Drosophila melanogaster: one gene and its partners. The protein of the gene in region 2 interacts with the protein of the main gene of each other region in a pairwise test. Each region holds a gene or a part of one and is shown on either strand. Other genes may lie near its edges. The genes, in order: CG13843, H15, CG43736 and CG34302.

Region 1 (3,729 bases), on a different chromosome or scaffold from region 2:
ATACAAACGAAAGGAGCGCAGGTTTGGACGAAGATCAAATTAAAAGCAACACAAACAAACATATTTTGTATAGTGTCCATAGCGCGTCGTTTGAATGATCCATTGAGTGAATATGTTAAAATAGAGCCCCGTCACCTGGGGGTTGGTATGTACCAGCACGATGTTCCCGAGAAGATTTTGACGGCATCGCTGAATGACGTTGTGTCCGAGTGTGTCAGTTATGTTGGCGTTGATCTCAACACAGCCAGTCTGAGTGTACTCAAGTATGTGTGATTAAGGGTCAAATAAGTTATATATTTTTAATATTCTCCACCATATAGGCACATTGCTGGTCTGTCGGAAAAGAAAGCGGAAAAGATCATTGAGCATCGTACGCAGAAAGGACCATTCAAGACACGGAAGGATCTGCTCTCCGTGCGAAGCATAGGTGAGAAATCGTTTGTCCAGTGCGCCGGTTTTGTGCGCATCGAACCCCGAAGCGTTGGAGGACAACTACAGAATCCATTAGATTGCACTTGGGTGCATCCTGAGAGCTACAACGTTGTGGAAAGGTAAGTCCAATATTCAATTGACTTCATTAACCAATAATAATGAGACTTTATTCCGCCTGATTCATCGCAAGCCTGGCCTTTTCATCCGCTGCCCTCACTAACAAGGAGGTGTCACTAGGTGTCACAATGTCACTTTCGTGTTGCGTGATGCCAGCTATGTTCTTTGGACAATCGTCGTCAAAATTCTTAAGATTTGTAACATCCTCGCTAGATTCCATTTGACACCAGCACGGAAGGTACGGCTTCAAGGGATCCTTCTTGTCGCAACGCTTGCAGGTGCAGTTCTCCATGCCGGCACTCATAAAAGTCCGGAAGTCCGTCTCCTGACTCAAAAGCCCCAGATAGTCCTCTATAGAGTGCTCTTTCATAGGGTCCATCAGCTCCGCCCACGTCTTTAGCTTCACGATCACGCCAAAGAAATACGTGTTTAAGTCCTCGATTATTTGCAGCACCGAATCTAGCTCTTTCAAGAATGTACTTCCTAAAGACCGGTCCAACCTGGCTACGCGTTGATCTAGCTCCTTTTTCGACTCACTCATGTCCAGGTATAAATTGCTCAAATCGGTGCTAAAAAGTTTTAAATTAGCAGTGGCTGTGTATTTTTAATAGACTTACTTTGACTGATTGACGATATTGTAGGCTCTCTGAAACTCGCAAAGGGCCCGCTCTTCGGTCATCCGGCTTATGTACTCGGGATAGGTCTTAGTGCATCCGGTCGAGCTGGCTAAAATGCGATAACGCACTCCATGGTAACGCATCTCCTTAACCCTCTCAATCTGAAATGGTTTGGCCTGCTCCAGCTCATTCTTCAGGGCCTTCATTTTCTGGTCAACTACTAGAGTTTGCTCGTGCACACACTGCTCAAGCTTAAAATCGTAGCGGGAGTAGATATTCTCACAATGCTTGAAGGTTGGCTTCAGCAAATGGATGGGAATGGTCGATCCCCGGCACGGTGGCGGAAGCGGACGACGCTTGTACCGCTCCGGCGGATACTCCCAGCAAACTCCAAAGCGGGTTTGATCCTGCACATTGAGCGGATGCTGCCAGCAGGGCTTGTATTTCGGCTTATCGTTGTGGCCGTAGAATGCTACCTTTCCACATGCAACATATCGAAGCTTGGCTGGCGGCACAATTGGAGGATAATGCCAGCGCTCCGCATATTCCTGCTTTAGCTTGGCAATCATTATAATGGAAAATTTGAAAACTTAACTCTAAAACCAAATACTTTTTGTGCTTTCAGTATTGTCGGAGAATGTGACTTAAAGCTGTCGGATGTGGGCAAGGCTGCCTTTATAGCTAGCATCAAGCAGTTTGCCTCATCCCAGCCTAATCTCGATCGCATTGCCAAGCAGCACAAGCTGCCCATGGAGCGAGTAAGTGCCACTCAATCTATACTAAACAGGCCTATTGCAATGTTCAAATAATTTAAAATAAATTTCCTTTCAGTTGGAGTTCCTGTTGGTTGCCCTGCAGCGCGAATTACTTCAGGATTATCGAGCAGATCTGGACAAGAGGCCACTGTTCAAACAAGGTCTAACTAGGCTGGATGATCTTAGCATGGGCGAGGTGGTCACTGGCAAGTGGAGACTATGATAGTCATTTCATATATGTACTTATTGAAACTATTCCGACACACAGGTGCCGTGACCAACGTAACCCAGTTTGGCGCCTTCGTGGACGTTGGAGTGGAGCGCAATGGCCTCATACACAACAGTAACATGAATAATTCGCAGCTGAGCGTTGGCGATCGCATTGTGGCATCGGTGGTAAAGGTGGATCTGAAGCGACGCCAGTTGGAATTACGTTTGGAAAATATGCTGATGGAGACGGATACCTCGTTTAAGTTCAAGGCGGAGGATTAGACAAACTGCAGGGATTTAATGCTTTCGGAAGTATTTAATGATTCATATCGTAATTGTTTGGTTGCTCACACGAGCATTCATATATACTATATATAGTTCATATATATATTTATATATATGTGTATATGCATAGTATAACGGCTTTCCTAAGTTTAATCAAAGCTTATCAGTTAGTAATAAATGTTCACATAAAAATCACCGTCTCCACGTTCGTCTTCTTGTTTCCCTTCTCGCCACAAGTTGGCAAGTTGTCTTAAATGAATTGTTATCGAAAGGGTATTGCTTTAGAAACTAAGTGATGCCCTCTTAAGCCAGTTAAAATAAATATACAATATGCATACATTTAGGCGCTTGGTTTGCAGCAGGCAAGTTGCTTTCACTTTTAGTTAGTTTGTATTTTCGAATTTATTGCCGTTTCAGTAGAATTGTTAAAAATTATTATAAACAATGTTATATAGTCTGCATTTACATAATTACACAATACCATAATCATAATATATTCAAAAATATATGATGCATTTAATTTTATTTTTTCCTCCATCTCTCTTTACCCCGTAATGGATATTTAATTTCATATTCTAGCTACATGGACATGTCGCGTAATCAACCGATAGTTGTTTAAATAAATATATTAATCCGTACATAATATTGGAGTAACTGTTCCTACACAGTTAAATGTGATAATGTATCGCAAAAGACCAAAAACAAGTTGTACACGGTATGGTAGTAATTGCTTAAGCTTAATGCTAATGCGCTTGTCCTCTTCTCAATTCTCATTTCGTTATTGTTACTGCCGATGTTCTCCATCTTGTGGTTGTGTAGAGATATTGTTCATTAATTAATAATTTATTTTTATCATTTATAATGATAGCATAGGTAATGATGTAAGTATTGTTTATCAACTCTTGTAATAATAAGTCTATGTGTATAAGCAGTTTTCATTCTCGTTCCTAAACAGCCGTCCAGCAGAATCTTTGGCGGAGCAAATATGAACGATAATTCAAATTCGAATCGATCTGACTGTGTAGCTTTAAATCAGGTGAAACCGATCTCGAATACCCTCATTCTGGATAAGTAGCATGGTAAATATAAAATCAACTGCACGAATTCGAGATAATCCTCTGGTTGCCGAGATTATGCCGATGTCTTCTGATGAACGACCTTTAAACGTAAAATTCTCCCTCGTTAATTATCGCATTGGTAGTCTAATTGTCTCAAATGATCTCTTTCTCGCAACCCCTGATGGGGTTTTAACTGACTGAAAGTGCACGAATTCCGAATTTCTGTGGCAGACACGGCACAGCCGCAACGCTTGA
Region 2 (4,709 bases):
CGGACTTTGCGAGGGCGGGGGCGGCGGTGGCGAGGGCGTGGCAGCGGCTCCCACTGCGGCAGCAGAACGCCCTCGCTGGCTGCTTGATTTGCTGTTGGTGTTGCTGTTGCCTGAGTTGCTGCTGTTGTTGGTGTTGCTGCTGTGATGATTGTGATGTTGGCGTTGTTGCTTGCCAGTTGTTGCGTGGTGATGTGTCTGCTGCCTTTGTTGTTGCTGCTGCTGCTGTTGTTGCTGTGCAACACGCAATGCCTGACGCGCTTGTTGCTGCGCCTGCAATGCTGCCGCTGCAGCCGCTGCTGTTGTTGCCGCCGCTGCTGCTGCCGCAGTTGCCGACGGCATTTCCGAGTCACTGCAGTCGACCACATCAACGTCAACATCATCGTCCGCATCCTGGCCTGAATAGCGCTCCACAGATGCGGGACCTACACGACCAGAAATGAATGGGGGGCAGAATGCGTCAGTAACTAAGTCCCAATTATGGAAAAACAACTACTTGCAACTACAAAACACAATCATTAAAAATTAATGTTTGATACAAGTAACCAAAAATAATTAATATTAAATATAATGATACTTAGAGCTTATAAGTTTATAAAAAAGATTCCTACGAATTTCTAACAGTAAAGAATGTGTATTTAAGTATATCATTTCTTAACAGACATAAGTGCTAATTGTTTGTTGTCATATTAGAAGAGCATATTCTTTCAGTGCACTTAGAAAAGAGAGACATCAGCGTGGCTCGTTAATGTGGGAGTTGCTGCTGGGCTGCAACATGTTGCATGTTGTCGATGACGAGTCGCAACAGCAATGCCAACGAGAATCCAGTTCGCGACCAGATGCATTTTACAGATTACGCCAGAAATTCAATTATTTGCTCAAAATGCAATTTCATATGTTAATTTCGTGTGTATTTGTGTGCTGGCATTGCCAATGAAAATTGCCAATTGAAAGAGAATGGTGTGCACGATGGTGGGGGGGGGGTCGGTTTTCACACTAATGAATGCATCTGTTTGCGCTTTTGTCTCTGCCCAATTATGGCATCTAAATAGTTTTGCATTCAGAGTGTATATACAAATGCGATTATACATATATATGTATCTGCTCTGCGCCTGTCATGTGCATTTCCCAACCCCTTTGGCGCATTCAAATAGGCTTTGATTATTTTATTGCCGCGCATTTGCTGCAATTATCAAGTCATCAACGTTGCATTGTCATCAATATATAATTTATATTGCACAAAAAGGGCAGCAAAAAATGTGGAAAATATAGAAATGTAATGCAGCTGCGACAGTTTTTCAAGAGGTGGGTAATAAAGCAAGTGAATATTACTAAGCAATCGATTACATGACTCTTTACCAAAGCCAATGAAATATGTTTATATATTTTCCTAACTGCTTTACGTGTTTCTAGAAATATATAGAAATATCAACTACATTTCAATTTTCTTGCTAGCACACTAACCTACTAATTTGCTTTTGTTCTTCATCAAGTCTCAAGTATTCAAAGCCAATTTGCTACACATATATTTTTCTGGCAATGCATTTTGTTTCTGCTCTTATGTGTGATTTTATCGAGTTCTATTTCGATTTTGAGTGTACTTTCCTAATCTTGTATCTGAAATCTGAATTAAAAAATTCACATAAATAATACATAAATGTGATAATTGGCTCTTCGTCACAGCTTGATTATTTTCAATCATTTATCAAGCCTTTCATATTTTAATCCTGGATCGTAAATATTTATAGTTAAATCAGCAGACAAGCCCGTAACTTGGGATAAACATCAACATGCTAGATATGCCAGAGTTAAAATCTTTTCAAACTTTGACTGGCCAATTTATTAGTCTCAATCGAAAGAATGGAATATTGAATATGTTAATAGAGTGAAACTTGTTTGTAGTAAGGAGCTGAATATGAATTCAAGAATCATAAGAAACATACGTTCATGAATGAAGCGATGGGACTCAAATGAAGATTGGTTTTTAAGCTCGTTTCATGCAAACTAACGATATCAAGATACTTATTGTTCTGAAACCCAATCGAAAATGAAGCCCTAAAATGCATTGGCTATTTTTGAACAGCTCTTGAGTCTAGTTTGCGATGTAGGCCTGATATTTTAGTGCGGGAATTACTTTACTCACTCAGACTGCGTTCCGAAGGTTCGCGGCTGCTTGGGGCGTTTCCGCCGCGCGCCATAATCGCCGCAATTGAGAAATCCGTGGCGAAGGAAATGTTGTGCTGATTGTGATTGTGATTATGATGGTTGTTCAGCGGATGGTGATGATGATGGTTCTGATGATGATGATGATGGCTGCTGCCGTTGGCTATGTTCGCCGCTGCCGCCGCCGCTGCCGAAACAATCTGCTGCTGCAGCTTCGACTTGAAGTTCTGCGTCTGCGACGGCGAAGGCGTTTGCTGCGGTTTCGTATTCGCCGGCTGATTGCTCAAAAGCATTTTCGGGCCGAGACCAATTGGTAATGCTGCTGCACGGATTTTAGCCAATTCTTGCCAAATATATGCTCTCAAAGGTTTCGGACTTTCTTTCCCGCTTTTGTTGGTATTTTCTTTATCGTTTGCCTATTTGTTGCCCATTATTTGATATGTTTGTATTTGCATTAGTTCTACTATTTTGGGACTTGTTTGTTTAATGCTCTTTAAAATATTATATTCGGATTTAAACTGAATTCTTTACAATTTTCTTCAACATATTTGTTGATTTTTTGCCGGCTTTTGCTTTTAATAATTTAAACTGCTTTATCACACAGAGTTGCTTTGCTTCCTTTTTATATATGTATGTATGTTATTATTCTTGTGCCGTTTGATTTTTTATTAAATAATAAAATATTATAAAATTTGTCTAATTTTTTTTTGCAAATAATGTGTATTATTTTTTCCAACGTTTTACGACACACTTTGCGACTTGACGACTTTACGCCCGTATTTGCGGTCTCCGGTTTTTCGTGCTATTTATCGTAATTTGCGTATTCTCGAGTAGGAAACGGGAAATTCCGGAGCGCCGTCGCTGCTTCACAGTCACGCAGCTGACCATTGAATGAATCCCAATTCGCTTTTCGCCATGTAAACGCCAAAAGCGCCAAAGCCAAAGCCAACAAAACCAACAAAAAAACGCAACGCAAAAATCAACAACAAATACGAGGACGCCGACAGCGAAGCCAACTGCGACGTCGACTGACCCCCCAAAACAGAAACAACAACAGCTGATGTGTCTTACGGCGAAAGGTTTTCAACACCACGTAACGCGACGTAAGGAAACATTTCCAGAGAACATGGCCCGAAACTTTCCTTACGTGACGTAGGCAAACCGCCAGTTTAAACCGCAAAAGAAATATGGGAAAAAATACGGTTTTCAATTAGACTGGTGTGAGCGAGATGGCCACACATGCAGTGCATTCCCATGCTGCTTGCAGCGACGTCGGCGTCGAGGCATAACTCATTTCCATTTTCCAATTCGAACACACATTCCCATGCACTCAAAACAATACCAATTCATAAGCTAGCCGCGTGTTAGAGCGAGACAACTCTATATAGCCGTATTTGAGTGAGAGCCTTTTGTTGCTGCCATCTCACTCGTGCCGCTAGAAGCAAGGGAGCGCGAAAGAGAGCGCGCTGAGGAGTTCATAAATTCGTCATTTTGTTTTTGGCTGTTGACAGTTCTTTGCTTCATTGTTGTTGTTGCTATGGTGAGTGTGAGTGGATTTTGTTGGTCGGGGTTGGGGGTGTGTTTCACCGCTTTTCGTCGACTATTTACAATTATTCTCAACTCGGTCCGATTCCATTCCGTTTCTCATTGGCTATTCACCACAGCGCACTGAGTTGAGTGGAAAAGCGAGTGAGTTTCGTTCTAGTTACGTTTACTGTATAAATTGAGAATATTGAAAAATTCTTTTAATAATATTTAATTTCATGGTATCTCTGAAATTAATATTATTGTTCTTGATTACATATTTTTTAAGTCTTAAATAAACGATTTTATATTAAGAACTAACCTATAACATTGAAATGAATGTTTTATAAACATAACCTTATAAAGCATATTTAAACATGGTAGGGAAATCTATAAAATTCAGGAGAGGAAATTAATGTAAAAAATGAACAAAGGGGTTATCCCGCATTTGCCATCATTTTATTGTTTGCCAGCATTTTATGTAAAATATTTCGAAATGTTTTCTGTTTCCACATTTTTCTCATTTTATTCAAAAAAATTGTACAATTTTGAGCTATGAAAAATGTATTGAATTGTTTCGTTACAAGTTGTATTTTCACCAAATTCCAAGAAAAATATATTTATGTATTTGTATTCTTGTAATTATTCATTCCCTTTAAATGTCCTTTAAACATCCTAACCATCACCCTATAATTTTCCAGACCGTCAAGAGAAAAAACAAAAAGTCCTGCGACAGGACTTATCTGAGAAAGTGTCTCGTGTGCTGGGTCCTCCAATTGAAAAATCATAATTGAATATCTGGGTTCCTGGCACTCCTCCCTTTTGTCCGCCCACCGGCGTATGTAAATGTTTTTAATTTAAATGTTTGCTCAAAGGAAACAACAAAAGATGGTTGGAAAAAAAATGCGACTATGGCGTGTGAACGCAGCAGAAAATTATAGACCCATGGAAAAGGGAGGAAACTGGTGGGGTGAGGGGAAGGGGCTCTGGTGGTGCCACCATCTTGTTTCCCTCCGTCAGACTTT
Region 3 (4,803 bases), on a different chromosome or scaffold from region 2:
ATTAGAAGGGGGTTTACATGGCCGTAGAGAAAAAAAAAACAAAAAACATCTTCCACACAAAGTACAAGAAATACCCAAACACACTCACGCACAGCTGACTAATTAGCAAAGCAAAACACCAAAAATCAAAACCCCCACTCAAAATCAAGAGAGATGCCACGAAACAGGGAGCCCGTAGAACGAAAGAATTAAAGAAAGCCACGCACTGGAGAGTCTCGTACCGTACAAACTAAAAAGCCCGGGAGACACCTGAAACCAAAGCCGAGAGATACCAATAAACTGCAGTGCCTTCCATTGACACTCGGCTTTTGAATACCCTAAAAACTGATTGGTGTACTTACGTACATTCATATATAAATTGCGTTTCGGTTTATATTGTGTAATCCTATTACACACATAAGCATATGATTGAATGAAAACAAGTAGAACCTTTAATAGGCTACAGTTGGTTCTAAATAAATTGAAGTGGACATTGCATTAAGTAAAATACATATCACAATGTGTTTTGGCGCAACTGTACGTTTAGTTTTCGGGACCAAATAACACCTGTTTTGATCTGACTGTACTTCGCGGGACTCGTTATTAACTGGCAGTTAACTTTTTAGCCCCGTATGATGGCGGCACAATGGAATTTGACTTGGACTCTTGGACCTGGCTAATTAAATTTTTTTTTTTGGTAAATGTTTAGAGTCGGGGCGACCTTTTGGAGCTGCGCCCGTTCGTGAACTCGTGTATTCGTTTGTTCGTGTTCGTGCTCGGTCGTTCCCGGTTTTCTCTGCCTTCTGGAACGGGGCCTGTCTTGAAAGCCGCAGAGCGCGCGAATACCGAAAACTTCTTGCATTCGACGGTGCGAAAGGGACGGGGAGAGTGATGGCATGTGGGAAAGGGAGAGGGCTAGAGCGAGGAGAGGTGGCCATCGAATGCTAAGCAGGGGCCTTTGCTTTTGCTTTTGGTGCTTGCCAAAAATAGAGCCGCCCCGCCACGCCTTCGCCCACAAAGAGCACCCACCCACCCACTCCCGCACAAAAGCAACAACATCATCATCACACCACCAATACCAAAACCAATACCAATACTGTGACCCAGCCAGCTCTCTGTGAACATGTGTCAGTGTGTGTGGGTCTTGTATATAGCATAGCTTAAGCTTTCCTTGTACCGTGGTTCAAATGCCAGGGGAAAATGGCATTATTATATTCTTATAGAGAAATAATATATACAAATAAATTTGTACAACTGTATGTAAAGAGTAAACATGTAACAAGGAAACACTAATTTTAAAGTAAATTTAGCTAGTTTGCATTATTTTTTACACCATTTATATGAGTAAGCCACAAAGAAGCTTGCCTTTTTTGATCTGCTTGATTCCCAGATGGTGTTACTAAAAAATAATGCGAATTTGAGAGAAAGTTTAACAATAAAAAGTTCAAATTCGAGATACATATGTGTAGAGTATTTAAAGAACTTAATTGTGAGGTTAAATATTCAACAAATGGTAAACTTGTAATCCCATAAATTCGTATTATTTTATAAAATTTTACTTTCATACTGAATTGGCTAAGATCCCTTAATTAATTTCCATAAGTTGCTTATGTCTTAACCACTGTGGGTTGTAACTCTGCAGCTACGTTGACGTCGGCGTCGCAGCTTAGAGCTAGTCGATGAGCGGAAGGAGAGAGAGAGAGCAGGCGTTCGTCGAGGAGGGGGCTAGCCGAATAGGGTGAGAGAGAGCGATGGCAGAGTAGGAAAATGCATAAGAAGGGGGGTGGGGGCGCAAAAGGGAGACGGACAGCAGCAACAACAATTCGGCAAAATGTTCGTGGCAGCGTTGCAGCGACGCCGACTGCGCTACGGGTGTTTGTTTTTTTCTCTTTCGTGTTTTCCGTTTTTCTTTTGCGCTCTGCATCCGCTGCCGCAGTAGGCGTCGCTGCCGGCGCGCTGCGCCAGTGTGGGTGAGCGCACGGCTGTAGGTTTGTGTGTGTGCCGTACACATTTTTCAGTTGACTTCGTTGAAATAATTTTCGTAACAACGATCACACTCGTTTGTGTATTGCGAAGACGGGCGGACGTGCGTCGGCGTCGAATGCGGAACAAGCGCTAAAGCAAACTAGCGAAAAAGTGCGAATATCAAAAGAAAAGAGAACCAAACAAATTGTTTTTTTTTTTCACCACGAGCGTCGTCGCAAAAACAACAAAAAGGAATTTAATAAACCAAAAGCAAACGAGGAGAGAGAAAGCAGCAACTAAATATAACAACAAATGCATTAAATAGTTTTGTTTTTTTTTTTGCCACACTGCCAAAATGCAGTTAGCGTTTGTTTGTGTAAGTGTACCACATGCATACATAATGTATAATTTATATGCCAAAAACAACAACAGCAATAGCATTGTGTGCAAAATGTTGAAATGAGCTCGAAAAACAACAAAAATAAGTGCGCGCATTAACACACGCACACTTGCAAAGGAAAACATCTAAAAAAATTATCACGTGTGTGTGTGTGTGTGTGTGTGTGTGAGACAGCCGGTCAGTGTGACCGTTTGTGTGCCAGAAAGAGAAGGATCGAACAAGCCGGCTGTTTATTTCTTTTATAGTTCTGTTTAAATAACAAATACACTTGCCAAAAGAATTTCATTTTGATGTGTGAATAATTAAAAAAATCAGTAAGACATAATGCAGTCTTTGTTAAATATATATTGACATATATGAGCATATATATAAATACATACACAAATAACATATCAAATTGAAATGCTGGCAGTACCAATCGAACTGTCATCCTAACAAGTAAATTTTTCAATACAGCTCCTAATATAAAACCAAACCAAAAGTGTGGATATCGAAAAGTCTGGAAAAGTACGATAACGCAAGATTACATAGAGCGCGAGCAAGACAGCATTCTAGAGCAAAAGAGCGAGAGTGTGCGGAGGAGCGATGGCCAGCGAGGATGTGCAGATCACTAGCGTCATCGATGCCAATGGCCAGAGCCTACCGCTCCACGGCAACAGTTTGGGCGGTCCCCTGGGACCGCCCGTCAAGCAGGAGCGTCCCGATGACGCCGAGATCCGCGAACTAGCTGCCAAAATGAAGGAGCAGCAGAAGCAACAGGCCGCCCAGCAGGCATCCCGTCAAGCGGCCATGCAGCACTCGAATGGGGGCGCCATTGCGGCATCCTCGGCCGGTGGCAACATGCAGCCGCCGATCACAAATGGCAATGGCCAGACCAATATCATGAACTACCTATCTCGTCATCAGAAACTACCCAACGGCACCATGCAGGTGGTGCCCGCCTTGGCCTCCAATGGCCGCTCGAATGGAGCCGTCAGCGACTCCGGCTCGGACAAGAAGTCCTCCACGGGACCCTGCGACGAGGAGTCCATTCAAGGCCACTTCGGCTGGGCTCAGTTCGGCAAGGTATCCATACCGTACATCTATCGCCAATCGGAGAAGTACTGCTCCGTGCGCATGATCGAACTGAAACTGCTGGGCAAATACCTTAACTGCCTGCATCCGGATATCTACTCCAGCTGCACCTGCGTGCGCAGCTACTACATCACCGATGCGGAGGCCCGTCTCTTCATCGAGATTAATCATAAGCATTGTGACGGCGAGTTCGGTCGCGACATCTTCAACCAAAAGGATTTGGTGGTGCGTCTCAGTGACGCATCCAAGTTCTATCAGTTCCTGGATATTTGCTATAGGAAACTAGTCTCCGGCAGCAAGACGCCGTCGGAGAAGTGCGGCTTTATTCGCATCAACAAGGAGTCCGTGGTGCCCTACACTGTGCGCAACAATCAGCAGGTTGTGCCGCTCTTTTATTTTGAGGGCGAGACCGAGAATCTAAAGACCAAAGCGGAGCTGCTCAATGGCTGGGACCTGGCTTATCTAAAGTTCTGCTGCAAGGTGCAGGGCATACGCAATGAGCTCTTCTCCAGCGAGAACGTGGCCGTGATTTCGCTGACGGACATCAAAAGCTACTTCCCAAATGGCACCGAATTCGAGGACTACTGGCCCAGCAAGGTGGTTGACTCCAATCTGCTCATTGGCAATCGGGCCAATGTCAACAACTCGGTCAATTGGACCCGTCAACCCTCGGCGCCGCCTCCAAAAGTGACCACCTCCGTTTCCGGATCGTCCGGCCCTTCCTCCTCCAGCGGCGGCAACATGGGCCAGAACACATCAGCCGCATCATCCTCCGCGAACACCGCTGGTGGCCAACAGGTGACCTCAAAATCTCAGCAACAGCACGCTGCCTCTGCCGCCGCAGCAGCGGCGACGGCGCATCAACAGCATCTGATGAAGCAACGCGCCGCCGCAGCAGCAGCTGCCGCCGGCGCCAATGGTGTGGCGAATGCGGCAAATAGTTTTGGGGCAGCCGCGGTAGCGGCCTTCAATTCCCAGGCGGCGGCAGCGGCGTCGATGCTCCAGCAGTCGCAGGGCAACAACAGGATGTTATCGCAGGCCACCGTCCAGGCTTTGGCCAGCAGCGGATGGATGTCCGGACAGACAAACCTGCAGCTCCACGCCCAGATGATGGTGAGTTGAGCACTAGGCTAGCTAACGTTTTCCTCCAATTAATGCACAATGTTTATCAAACTTTGGGATATCAAAGCTATTAGCAAAGTTTGAGAAGTAATGCCCAATCGTAATCTGGAATATAATATCAACGTTGCTATGGTATCATTTATTATACCCCAGCTACTGAACAATATTATAGATACAAGATTCTTTACACTCAACCGAATTATCGTTTTTCAAGCCTTATCTAGAAATTCGAGCCTACTTTAGAGTAATGCGAGTCGGTGTTT
Region 4 (3,227 bases), on a different chromosome or scaffold from region 2:
TGGAGCTATGAACATATTGAAAGGCTTTAAACTTCGTTAATAATAAATGTTCCTAAAAGTATGCAAGCATAGTTTATAACTCCGAAAGTTTTGGAGCAAACAAAGCAAATGCACCAACTTCTTTTGCTGCACATCCAAGACTCCTTTTTCGCAATATAAAATATTTCAACAGAGAATTTGCAGTTTTCATAATTCAATGATAAAGTTTTCTAAGAACATCGAGAACTTTTTTCAACCAGTATATCCTTCCCGCGCAGAATTTTGTTTCTGTGCTCATTTCCCCGCCTTATGGGAAAGTTCATCCGCACATCCTTGCCACCAGATGATGTTTACACTTGAGCTGCAGCATTGGCAAACACAATCTCCATGCCACAAACCCTGGTCGCCCCCACTCCACTGATTTTCCATCGCTTGGTGCGTTTGTTGTGTTCGCATATGTATGGGAAAAAAGAACTGCCGTGGTTTCTGCCAGAAACCAAGGATCCAGCAAACAGCAGCCACAGCCTTCGATTCAAGTTGTTTGCCCGACGCAACCCGAAAACTGAGTTAGCCCAACTCAGCGGTCGTTCTCTGTGCTGGAATACTACAAACACATTGGGTGGGAAAAAGTTTTTTAGGGAACGATGTCATAACCGTAGGCCCCAGTTGATCCTTCATCGATTAGTGTGGCAGGAAGCGAGTCCCTCATAACGGAAGCTGCCACAAAGTTGCGAGCACAAATCGCTACAAGAACGCAGCTCCTCGGGCTACGCGTTTGCTCAACAGGTAACTAGTAGCCATTGGAAAATCTTTCCCGTATCTACATACACTTGGGTATATAAAATATCTAACCTCAAGCGAAGGTAAATATTTCATTTAAATATCTGTAATATTGAGTTGTTTTACAAACATATCACATATGAAGACATTGTACCCTACCCACCACTGATTGCTGTATCCTAGCGATTGATGGCTTGAAAATGCGCAAATTGGAAGGAAGGGCTCCACTTGGAGGAGCAATTGAGAGAACAACGAGCTTAACAAGCTGCCAGAGCACCGGGGGCGCTTTTTGTTTCCAACTGTCCTGGCTGGTCCTCCTCCTCCACCACCTGCGCTGCGGATGAGGAGGAACAAAGCGGCAGGTAGTTGGCACTTCAATTGAACACATTAATGTGTCACTTTCGTCGGATCTCGGAGCGAGTTTCGGTGCGTCGGCAATGCCATAAATCAACACCCACCCCGTCCATCGCCATGGAGAGCTATCGATTAGCCGGGCTCCAACCTTCGGATTGGAGGCGTCAGGCAAATGGCATGGGCCAGGAGGGTGACACGAGGATTGGGGGGCAGGCGGATTGAGCCATGAGGCGTGCTGCTGCAATGAGTGCGACCACCAAAACCTGGACAGGTAGTTCTCCTCGCACCGTGGGCCTCAAATTTATGAACTTGACTTTCGGTTAGCTAACAGCCATCAGCCAACGTTGGGTGGCCCCTCCATCCGGCCCAGGCCTCTCGTCATTGGTTCCGGCCAGACACGAACGGGTATGAAAAGGTTCGCATGACTGCAGGAAATTACCATAATTTCAATTTAACAAATTAAACGAATTCCGTTCTGAGCTGGAGAAAAAAAAGAGAGCAGCGTCGGCCTCCAAAAGAGTTAAGGTTTAAGAAGTCCTTGCTTTGGGAGCTGAAGATTTTTACAGCTGATAAATGTGGATGAATTCACCTGACAAAATGGGTGGAAAACTACTTGCCGGCGGAGGGGGAACTTTTTTATTTCAATTACTTGATGGAAAAGATGTGTAATTTGTATTTACACAAAAATTGCAGGCACTGCTAAATTACTATTAAAAATATAACCGTGCCAAAAATATTTTTTAACGGTCAATCAAGTTTTTGATTTGCATTCAAAAACAATAGGGACTAAAATTCCAATAAGAAACCATTGTAAAGGTGTTAACCCTATTTTAGAGATTTCATTTATCGAACTTTTTTGAGGTTACGCAAAAAAGTGGCCCGTTTTCAAGACTATCGAAGTGACAGAGAACATTTCGCAGGGAGTTGCATTTGCTAAAGACCTGCCAGCGATTAACACGATGGATCCACTCCGCCGTAATCCTCTTTTGGAAATTACCAAATGTGAGATGTGCTCCAATTTGGTATACCATTTTCCGACTGGATTGTGTGCCCGCTGCTTAACTCTTTGGGCCGGAAAGAAACCAATGGACGGACTGAGACTGACCGTGGACCAATCGAAGGCTTTCCTTGTGAACATTGCTCGCTGTTCGGATGCCCAGGATAAGAGCCATATGGACCCCACCTTTCAACGCGTGATTGCCGAGGTGAGATTGCAGCGCCAACAGAAACTTGAGCTGTTCCAGAAGATTCGCCAGCAGTTACAGCTTTCCGTACTCACCGGTTCCTTCTATGACAAAAATCCAAAATACGAAGTCAATGAGGACTATTGGAATATACCGGATATCGTCGATGCAGACATGCTGATGTTTCAGAAAAATATTGACCTGCTTGCAGATATACCCACCATTTCGTCAGAGATCAATGACGAAAATAAATACAATAAGCGCGAAAATAGAAAACGAAATTTGTAGCTGCTATCCACTTTTAATACAAAAGAAAGTACAAATATTTCTGAGAAATATACATATAAATGATAACGTGATATAATAAAGTATTTATACACCTTTTGGTAAATTGTAAACTTTTTTTTTCCAAAAACTGAAAGCTGTTTATGTTTATGTTTATGTGATAATGGGTCATTACCAATTTGACCGAAGGTCAATTCCTCACCAGGGAATCGTGGAAAGGATTGAATCGGATGCCTTGTAATTGGTACTTTTAGCCGGTGTAATAAATTACCCAAAATCCGGGCAGCGACCAAGTCGAATCCAATTGAGCAAATGTGATTGCCAGGTCATCATTACCATCGTCCATTGCCCATCGTCCATCGTCCATTGCCCATCAGATATCAAGCTCCGACTGTCTCCAGGGGCTCATGGACATTTGGCTAATGAAAATGTTTATTCAAATTTACGTCAATGGATGTGTTTACACGAATGACCATCAATCTACATAAATAAACCCAAGTGCTGGGCGAGATATTATATGTATGTGTGCGTGTACCATGGAATGTCGCACAGTGTATTGTTCTTTGCCCGGCATTGTTCAACAATTTGTTTAATGAGAAAACTAATAAATCAAATGCGCCGTCAATTACACTCGAATTTATTCCG

The links.
Region 1: the proteins of H15 (region 2) and CG13843 interact in a two-hybrid assay, tested with the Drosophila melanogaster proteins (one large-scale study listed by BioGRID).
Region 3: the proteins of H15 (region 2) and CG43736 interact in a two-hybrid assay, tested with the Drosophila melanogaster proteins (one large-scale study listed by BioGRID).
Region 4: the proteins of H15 (region 2) and CG34302 interact in a two-hybrid assay, tested with the Drosophila melanogaster proteins (one large-scale study listed by BioGRID).

What each region holds. Positions count from the first base shown.
Region 1 is NT_033777.3:22,607,544-22,611,272, reverse strand, and holds CG13843 (uncharacterized protein), read right to left. Parts: upstream 1,789-3,729; 5' UTR 1,736-1,788; coding exon 1,167-1,735; intron 1,119-1,166; coding exon 599-1,118; 3' UTR 558-598; downstream 1-557. Other genes in the region: CG31156 (uncharacterized protein), read left to right, coding at 1-21, 74-263, 321-551, 1,792-1,924, 1,998-2,127, 2,190-2,413.
Region 2 is NT_033779.5:5,402,624-5,407,332, reverse strand, and holds the start of H15 (H15), read right to left. Parts: upstream 3,054-4,709; 5' UTR 2,454-3,053; coding exon 2,141-2,453; intron 423-2,140; coding exon 1-422.
Region 3 is NC_004354.4:6,866,461-6,871,263, forward strand, and holds the start of CG43736 (uncharacterized protein), read left to right. Parts: upstream 1-1,766; 5' UTR 1,767-2,320; intron 2,321-2,800; 5' UTR 2,801-2,929; coding exon 2,930-4,531; intron 4,532-4,803.
Region 4 is NT_033777.3:9,822,457-9,825,683, reverse strand, and holds CG34302 (uncharacterized protein), read left to right. Parts: upstream 1-1,860; 5' UTR 1,861-2,072; coding exon 2,073-2,585; 3' UTR 2,586-2,685; downstream 2,686-3,227.